2 linked regions of the Sus scrofa genome follow. The protein of the gene in region 1 purifies or fractionates together with the protein of each later gene. This does not show direct contact. Links are inferred from orthologs where the notes say so. Each region holds a gene or a part of one and is shown on either strand. Other genes may lie near its edges.

Region 1 (3,390 bases):
TTAACAGGGCAAAATTAGCATAGGCACAGGGATTACATTCTGGGTTGTGGATTTGGTTTCTTCTCTGCCTCGGAGGGCACCTCTTCTCACCATCAAGGAGAGGGGCAGGTCACAGAGCACCCACTTTCTTGGCTTCTCCTTGGGAGGGGGTCTCTGACCAATGAGGAGGAAAGCCAGGTGATCACAGGGTGCTGACCTGTCCCTGTGACAGCGCCCGGCCCCTGACCAGGATGTCACCTACCCACCCACTGTCGAGTGTCTTCGTGAGCACTCCGGAGCACCCCCCTGCTCTCAGGGAGACACACACACACACCACACACACACACACACTCACTCACTCACTCACTCACTCACTCACTCTGAAACTGAGCGGAGTGCTGGGCCAAACCAAACTGCTCCAGGGAGCCTGGGACATGGCTTTCCTCCTCCTCTCAGGCTCTCCGTGTCCTTAACTGGAGAAGGTATGTGAGGGAGGGAGGAACCCGTCCGACCTCTTTGTAACCACTGATGCGTGTGGTCTGGAATCACACAGAGGAGGAGACTGGTGACCACAAGCCCCCGCCAAACTCCTAACACTGGGCCCACTGAAGGCCTTTTCCTGGGACCTGTCACAAATGAGAGACATCATAGAAAATGTTATTCTTTTATTATTTCAAGGAGGTAATACACAGCCCCAAACGTCAAAGCACTAGGGAATTAGAGGCAGCAGACGGCCAAAGTTGTTGAGAAGAGCCTCATGCTGCATCTCCGGGCCCCCATCTGCCCACAGCCCACGGCTGCTTACAGGAAGGCCAGACCAGCAACATGGCACTTGCTGTGACTGTGGCAGTGGACAGGTGACCCAACTCAATACCCCACTGACTAAGGAAGGGTTCTCCTGGGTGGGCAGCGCTCAGCCCTGCCCCGGCCAGGTATACATGGCTACTGCCTTGGCGGCAACCAGCTTATCTAGCACTTGATTTTATTTCTGTAAGCCTGGAGTGGGTAGGATGGGAATAAATCCTGAGTCAGAAATGAAGGTGAAAGACTTAGTAGTGTTAATACTCTGGGTGAGAGAAGACAACACTGCCTGAGAAGGGTGGGCTGGGAGTCGGTAGAAGAAAGATGGCAACACCGAGACTGGCCAGGGACTGAAGGCGCTGCTTTGCAGCCATCAGAGGGGTTTTTTGGGGGCACATGATGTGGGGGGCCTGGGGGGTGGGCTCTGAGGCTCCTGCTTCCTCTGGCACAGAGTTGATCTAAAGGTTCATTTTTCACTCATAATTGGTTTTCCGGGTCTAGGTCACCACCCCAGGGGCTGAAGCAAGTCCTGCCTGTGCACAAGGCTGGCCATGGAGATGTGTGGTCAGTGCCCAGTGTGGGCAGGGAGGGACTCACATCTCCCAAGACCTTTCTCCCCCGACCCCAGCTCCTTCCCCTGCAGGTGACCAGGGTGGGAGGTGGGGGCCTCGGGCACCTCAGAGTGAAGCCCCACCACATTCTTTTCCTGGAGAATTCATTTTGGTGGGACCTAAGGTCCCCACCTGGCAGCGAGCAGACTCATGTCCACCCATGGGAAGCCACCTTCTGGCGGCTGAATGGTGGTGCGAGTAGGAAGGGCAGCAGCGGCTCTGGATACGGTAATACTCTGACATTCATTCATTCCAATGCCATGGTCAGACCGGAGCACTGGCGAGAGGGCTGCTCCTTCCCAGCATGCACTGTTCCCCAGCCAACCCCGGCCAGGTCAGAGCCAGGTTCAGATGCCGCATGGCCGGTAGATTTTTGGTTTAACAGGAATGGAAAGAATCTTTAAAAAACCAGGCCACTGCGTTCTCTAGACTGGGAGCCATCGGTTTTGTTTAACAAGAAAGGACAAAGAACCAAACTCCACAGTGGCCAAGGCTTGTGCAGCACAGAATGCAGTGTGTATCGAAATGTATAAACCTTGGTCTGACTGGGGAGGTGGGTGAACACAGACCCGTGGGACCTCGTGTCCTCTAGTCAGTGGCAGGCTCTGCTGTTGCCTCATCCTCATGCTCCTCAAAGCCTGGGACCGGCTTCTGTAGAAAGTGCATGGTGGCTTGGATCACCTTATCTGGTCCAATATTGTATACAGGGTGAGTGGGCTGCTGCAAAGAGAACAGATGCCAATTAATCACTCCAGTGCACAGCCTTTGCCCATTTAATGCACTTACAAGAATATAACATTGGAGATCCCGTTGTGGCTCAATGGTTAACAAACCCAACTAGCATTCATGAGGACGCGGGTTCAATCCCTGGCCTCACTCAGTGGGTTAAGGATCTGGCGTTGCCGTGAACTGTGGCTTGGATTCCACGTTGCTGTGGTTAGGCCAGCGGCCACAGCTCCAATTGGACCCCTAGCCTGGGCACCTCCATATGCTGAGGGTGCAGCCCTAAAAAGACAAAAAGACAAAACAAAAAGAATATAATATAAGGAATCATCAGAGATACACATGGAGATTTATCTCACAAGGCCCTATTGTACAACAGGGAACTGGTAAGACATGTTATAGTACATGGGACACAGAGGAAGAGAGCCATTAAAAACATGCTTTCAGCATGTAAATCAATGAAGTTAGAATACATCATACACAAAAATAAATTCAAAATGGCCTAAAGACTTAAATACAAAACAGAACACCATAAAACTCCAAGAAGAGAACAAGAAGAGAAGGCAAAACATTGACATAAATCCTACCAATGTTTTCTTAGGTCAGTCTCCCAAAACAACGGAAATAAAAGCATAAATGAACAAATGGGACCTAATCAAACTTAAGCTTTTGCACAGCAAAGGAAACCATAAACAAAAGAAAACCTACGGACTGGGCGAAAATATTTGCAAAGATGCAATTGACAAAAGACATCCTTTCAAATATTTAATGATATTGGCAAATACTTACATTAAGTGTGGAAGACAGTATGTGATATTATCCCCAAACTTATGATTTTGGGAGGCTTTTTCGGCCGTAGATTCAGCCAAAAAATAAAGTGTTGGTAGATATGATGTATATGAAATAGGCCAAAAAAAAAAAAATGAATGTAGGCCAAAATAGGAACAGTGATGATTGTTTTTAATTTTCTTTTAGTTTTATATGTACTCCAATTATTTAAAAAATAAATATGTGTTTATAATCAAGAAAAAGGACCGTGATCCTATTACACTTAAGTAAAGGCGTCAGGCCATCAATAAGTTAATTTATCCCACAGAACCCCCTCCCCAAAAAAACTTTAGTGTGAGACAAGGCACAAGCCTAGGCCAGTACTGAAGTTAAGAAAATACTTTGAGCAAATCCATGCCAGAACAAAGGTAAACTAAATAGTTTTATAGAGCAATATAAATTTTCAAAATTGATTCAAGAAAAAAATTTTAAAACCTATATAGGTTAA
Region 2 (4,268 bases), on another chromosome or scaffold:
TTTATAATAATGAGTTATAACCTAGTGATTAAGAGTCCAGGCTGGCAGCAGACTCCTGGCTCCCGGAGTCTCAGCTGTATGACCTTGGATGACTCACCGCTCAGTTTCCTCATCTGTGAAATGGGTAACAGTTCCTACCGGGAGGATAAGCGAGTTAATACGCGTAAAGCCCTGAAGAAGAGCGCCTCGCACGCTTCCTCCTCATCTTTAAATCAATGTGAAAACAATGCTATAAGGTGGATTTTCGGACAACCTGGGCGGAGTGGTGCTGGCATTCAAGGACTGCACCTCGATTACAAGATCCAGCCCTATCATCTAGGGTTGGACGGCAGGCACAGGGAAGGAGTCAGAGTCACTCACTAATTCTGCCATTTTTAGCTACTTCAGACCCGGCAGGGGCCTTCGGCTGAGCGCTGAGCTGTTCAGCAGCTCCGGTGGGTCTAAGCGGGAGTGGGTTTGTGCCTATTAACAGACTTGCGAAGTTTTGTGGCAGTATGCAGGTATCCGTCCCAATTTACGCATCCTCAGCCACCAACTCCTCCGCCCGCTAAGCAGGTCATTCCTCCACGTCCAGGGGCCGGGCTCCCTCGCACTCACGGCACAACTTCGGAGCACGCCGAGGGCCCTGGCTCCAGCCCACGCCCCAAGGGCCGCGCGGGGACCGGGCGCCCGACCTTCCCCGACGCCTCGCCCAGCAGCCAGCCCCATTTTCTTAACCCGTGCATTGTCCTTGCGGAGAACCCCGGCCGTTCCCACACTGGTGGGGACCGAGAGGAGGGACGAGGGAGGAGCTGGGGGAAGAGGATGAGGAGGAAGAGGAGGAGGAGGAGGAAGACAACCTCCTCCCCTTCGCTCGGGCGACCAGTGAAGGTCTGGCGCTTTCTCCGGCCCCCAGGCCCCGGCTCCCGGGAGGCCGCGGCCTCGGCTCCCACCCTCGGCAACTTTCCCTCCGCTCGCACCCGCCTCTCCTCCGGGACCGGGCCCGTCGGGCTCCCTCCCCCGGCGGCCAGCCCCGGGCCGCGGCGCCTCCTCCTAAAATGGCAGGTCCCTCCCTCCGCCCGGCCGGCCTCGGCGCGGGCCCGGCTGCAGGCCGCGGGGGGAGCCGGGCGCCGGGCAGGGCCGGGCGGGGCCGCGGCCAGGCCGGACACTCACCGGGACGATGGCGGGGCGCTCGCGCCGCTTCCTCCGGTGAGTCTCAGCCTTGGGCTCCCGCCGCTGCGCTCCCGCCGGGGCCTCCGCAGCCAGCGCCGCCCCGGCCGCCTCTCTCCGCCCCCGGCGCTCCCGGCTCCGCGGCCGAGCCGCAGCCTTCTCAGTCTCTCTCCGGCTCGCGGTTCCAGCGGCGCCCGGGGCCGGGGAGGCGACAGCCCCCTCCCCGGCAAATACCGCAGTCCCCGGACCCCGACTCCCGGCGGCGGGGCCGCGCGGCCCGGCCCGGCGCGGAGGGCGGCGGCGGCGAGGCCGGGCGCCGAGTCGCGGCTGCTCCCGGCGGCTTCTTCCCGAGGAGGATTTTGTAAATCTCACAAAATGGCGCGCGCTCCAAACCTGCGCAGCGAGAAGCGCCGGGGCCCGAGCGGCGGCGGCGGCGGCGGCGGCGGCTCCTCCGCCAGGAGAGCCAGAACCGCCCGCACAGACAGACAGACACTCACACACACTCACACACACACACACGCACGCACACTCGCACACGCTCACTCACACACACACTCTCACACTCACACCGGTCCCGCCCGCTCGCCGGCGGCGGCAGCGGCACCAACAGCAGCAGCAGGAACAGCAGCAGCAGAAGCGGCGGCGGCGGCGGCGCCCGCACCCCCCGCTCGGGGTGTCCGCTCCCTGAGCCCGACCTGGGCCGCGATCAGCAGCAGCGACGGCAGCAGTCTCCCCGGATCCCCCCGCCGCTCTTGCCGCCGCCACCCCCGCCTCACTCCAATGGGGCTTTTTATTATTATTCGGGCGGGAAGCGAAAGGGTTTAAAAAAAAACCAACCAACAAAATGGCGACGGACCGACCCGGTCGCTATAGCAACTGTCAATCAAAACGCAAAACCCCGGCTGACGTGCTGACGTCCTCCTCCCGCCCCCCGGCCCCAAGCCGGCGGGCGGGGCCTGTTGCTCGGGCAACGGCAGATTCCGTTCCCTCCTTTCCCTCTCCCCCTCCGTCCCCAACCAACCACCCAACCCCCTCAGGTCACGTGAAGGATAAATTCGGAGCTCAGGCCCGCTACGAGTGTCAGAGGAGGGCGCGTGATTCGCTCGGGGGAGGGGAGAGGAGGGGGACGGCCGGGCCGAGGGAGGGAGAGGGCGGAGGAAGGGGGGCGAGGCGGCGGCCGGCCTGTGCTCCAGCGCCCAGGGCCTCCCGGCCGCGCCCCGCCCCGCGCCCGCCGCGCCCGCGCCGCCCGCGCCGACTGCGGCCCGGAGAGCGCGCGCGGCCTCCGCGCCGCCGCCCCCGGAGCCCCGCGCTTCCGCGTCGTGCGCCCGCAGCCCCGCCCGCGCCGGGGGGAGGGGGCCGGGCTCTGCGGCCGCGCGGGGACCCAGGAAGCCCACTCCGGTGCGCCCGCGCTGGGGACTCTCACCTGCATCCCCGGGGACCGCGCCGGCAGCGCACGTCCGCGCGTTTAAACTGTTCTTGGAAGGCCCCGCGTGCCCCCCTCGCCGGAAAATGCCCACGGAGGCCGCGGTGGGGGGTGGGGAAGAGGCCGCCTCCGCGTTTCAGACATCTCAGGAATTCCGGACGCTTCGCCCGAATCCGGGATGCCCCTGCGGCTGACACCTTGATTAAATCATGTCACTCGGCTTTTTGCTGCGGCCAGTGCCAGCGTTCAGAAATCATGGACGGAGCCATCATACAAACTTTTTTAGGCTGTGCATGCTCAGCCGGGCTTTCCCACCGATTTCAAACCCCTCCCCACCTTTCAGGCAGTCTTCCTTCTCCATCGGAATGCCCCTAAAATTAATCGTCTTAGGCTATACCGTATCGTTGTCCAACTCCCTGATTTTCTTTCTCATGCACCATTTCAGTTTCCAGATTTTTAATTCGCCCACAATTCTTGATTAATAGTCTCGCTTTCGTTTATCTTTATTCTGTCTACCCCTCTGGCTGGCTGAATATTACTAGGTGTTCTCTCTCGGCATTGAAACCTAGGTATGGAAGTAGCCATGCTGTACTGGCTACTTTGTAATCAGTAGACAGCCACTGGCTAAAAATTGTATTTTGTACCATTCCTAGTAAAATGGCATTTAATCTTTGCCAAAAAGGATACTATGGATATTATTTTACACCAAGTCCCTAATTTATTGATTGATTTCTAAGCTTGATTTTGCCATCTTATGATAGTGTTCGTATCAATTTTGTCTTAAGCTTGGACTGTTCACAAGTAAAGCAGCAGCAGATACCAGTAAAGAAAAACAACCCCACAGTAAATACTGAGCTCAATCCTCTATGACTCAAGGAAAGACACGAGTGTTTCCAATAAATGTTTCTCTTCTCTGGCTACTGGAACCTTGATTTACTAAGGCATCCATTGAAATTAGCACAGACCGTGAAAGAAAACAGACTAAACTTTAGATAAATTAGGCAAAAAGTAGGCCAATAGCTTAGACCGATTCTCATGGTATCACAAACTGCCATGACTATCAAGAGTTTTTTTGGACTTTCAAAATTGCCCTGCTAATGTAATTAAAGTCCACATTCAACTTGATTGTTTTCTGGTGGGGGGGAGTTAGGGTGGTGGTTTAATTTCCAGTTTATTTTCTGTTAAATTAACTACAACCTGGATTTACATTGCATCATCTTAAACAGGAGGAAGTGGCCAAAAGCGTCCCTGCTGGGGTAAGAGGCTGATATCTTGACGGCTCCCCAGCTTACACTGCCACCTCCTCCCTCCTGCTTCTTTCTCTTCTCCCTGCTCCCCACCCCCATCCTGTTCAGGCAGTTTCACTTCTCTCAGGACCCTTAAGCATTTGCAACCTTTAACACCAAGTTAAATTTGAGTCCGTTTTTTTTAATATATATTTTTATTATTTTTAAGAATTATTTCCCCCAATATAATTTTTTTCTACTGTACAGCATGGTGACCCAGTTACACATACATGTACACATTCTATTTTCTCACATTATCATGCTCCATCATAAGTGACTGGACATAGTTCCCAGTGCTACACTGCAGGATCTCATTGCTAATCCATTCCAAAGGCAATAGTTTGTATCTATTAACCCCAAGCTCCCCAACCCACCCCACTCCCTCCCTCTCCCCCAGTCCATTTTTTTTA

Evidence for each region. Proteins that work in one complex are often made in the same cells at the same time.
Region 2: the proteins of FNTB (region 1) and DYRK1A purify together in Homo sapiens (affinity purification with mass spectrometry; 3 studies listed by BioGRID, counting the BioPlex papers as one). This does not show direct contact. The link is inferred for Sus scrofa from reciprocal best matches to the Homo sapiens genes FNTB and DYRK1A.

The regions. Positions count from the first base shown.
Region 1 is NC_010449.5:89,128,313-89,131,702, reverse strand, and holds the end of FNTB (protein farnesyltransferase subunit beta), read right to left. Parts: intron 2,112-3,390; coding exon 1,980-2,111; 3' UTR 628-1,979; downstream 1-627. UniProt on the Homo sapiens protein: Essential subunit of the farnesyltransferase complex. Catalyzes the transfer of a farnesyl moiety from farnesyl diphosphate to a cysteine at the fourth position from the C-terminus of several proteins having the C-terminal sequence Cys-aliphatic-aliphatic-X.
Region 2 is NC_010455.5:201,007,222-201,011,489, reverse strand, and holds the start of DYRK1A (dual specificity tyrosine-phosphorylation-regulated kinase 1A), read right to left. Parts: upstream 2,985-4,268; 5' UTR 2,573-2,984; intron 1,272-2,572; exon of another isoform or gene 1,153-1,271; intron 887-1,152; exon of another isoform or gene 598-886; intron 1-597. UniProt on the Homo sapiens protein: Dual-specificity kinase which possesses both serine/threonine and tyrosine kinase activities. Exhibits a substrate preference for proline at position P+1 and arginine at position P-3.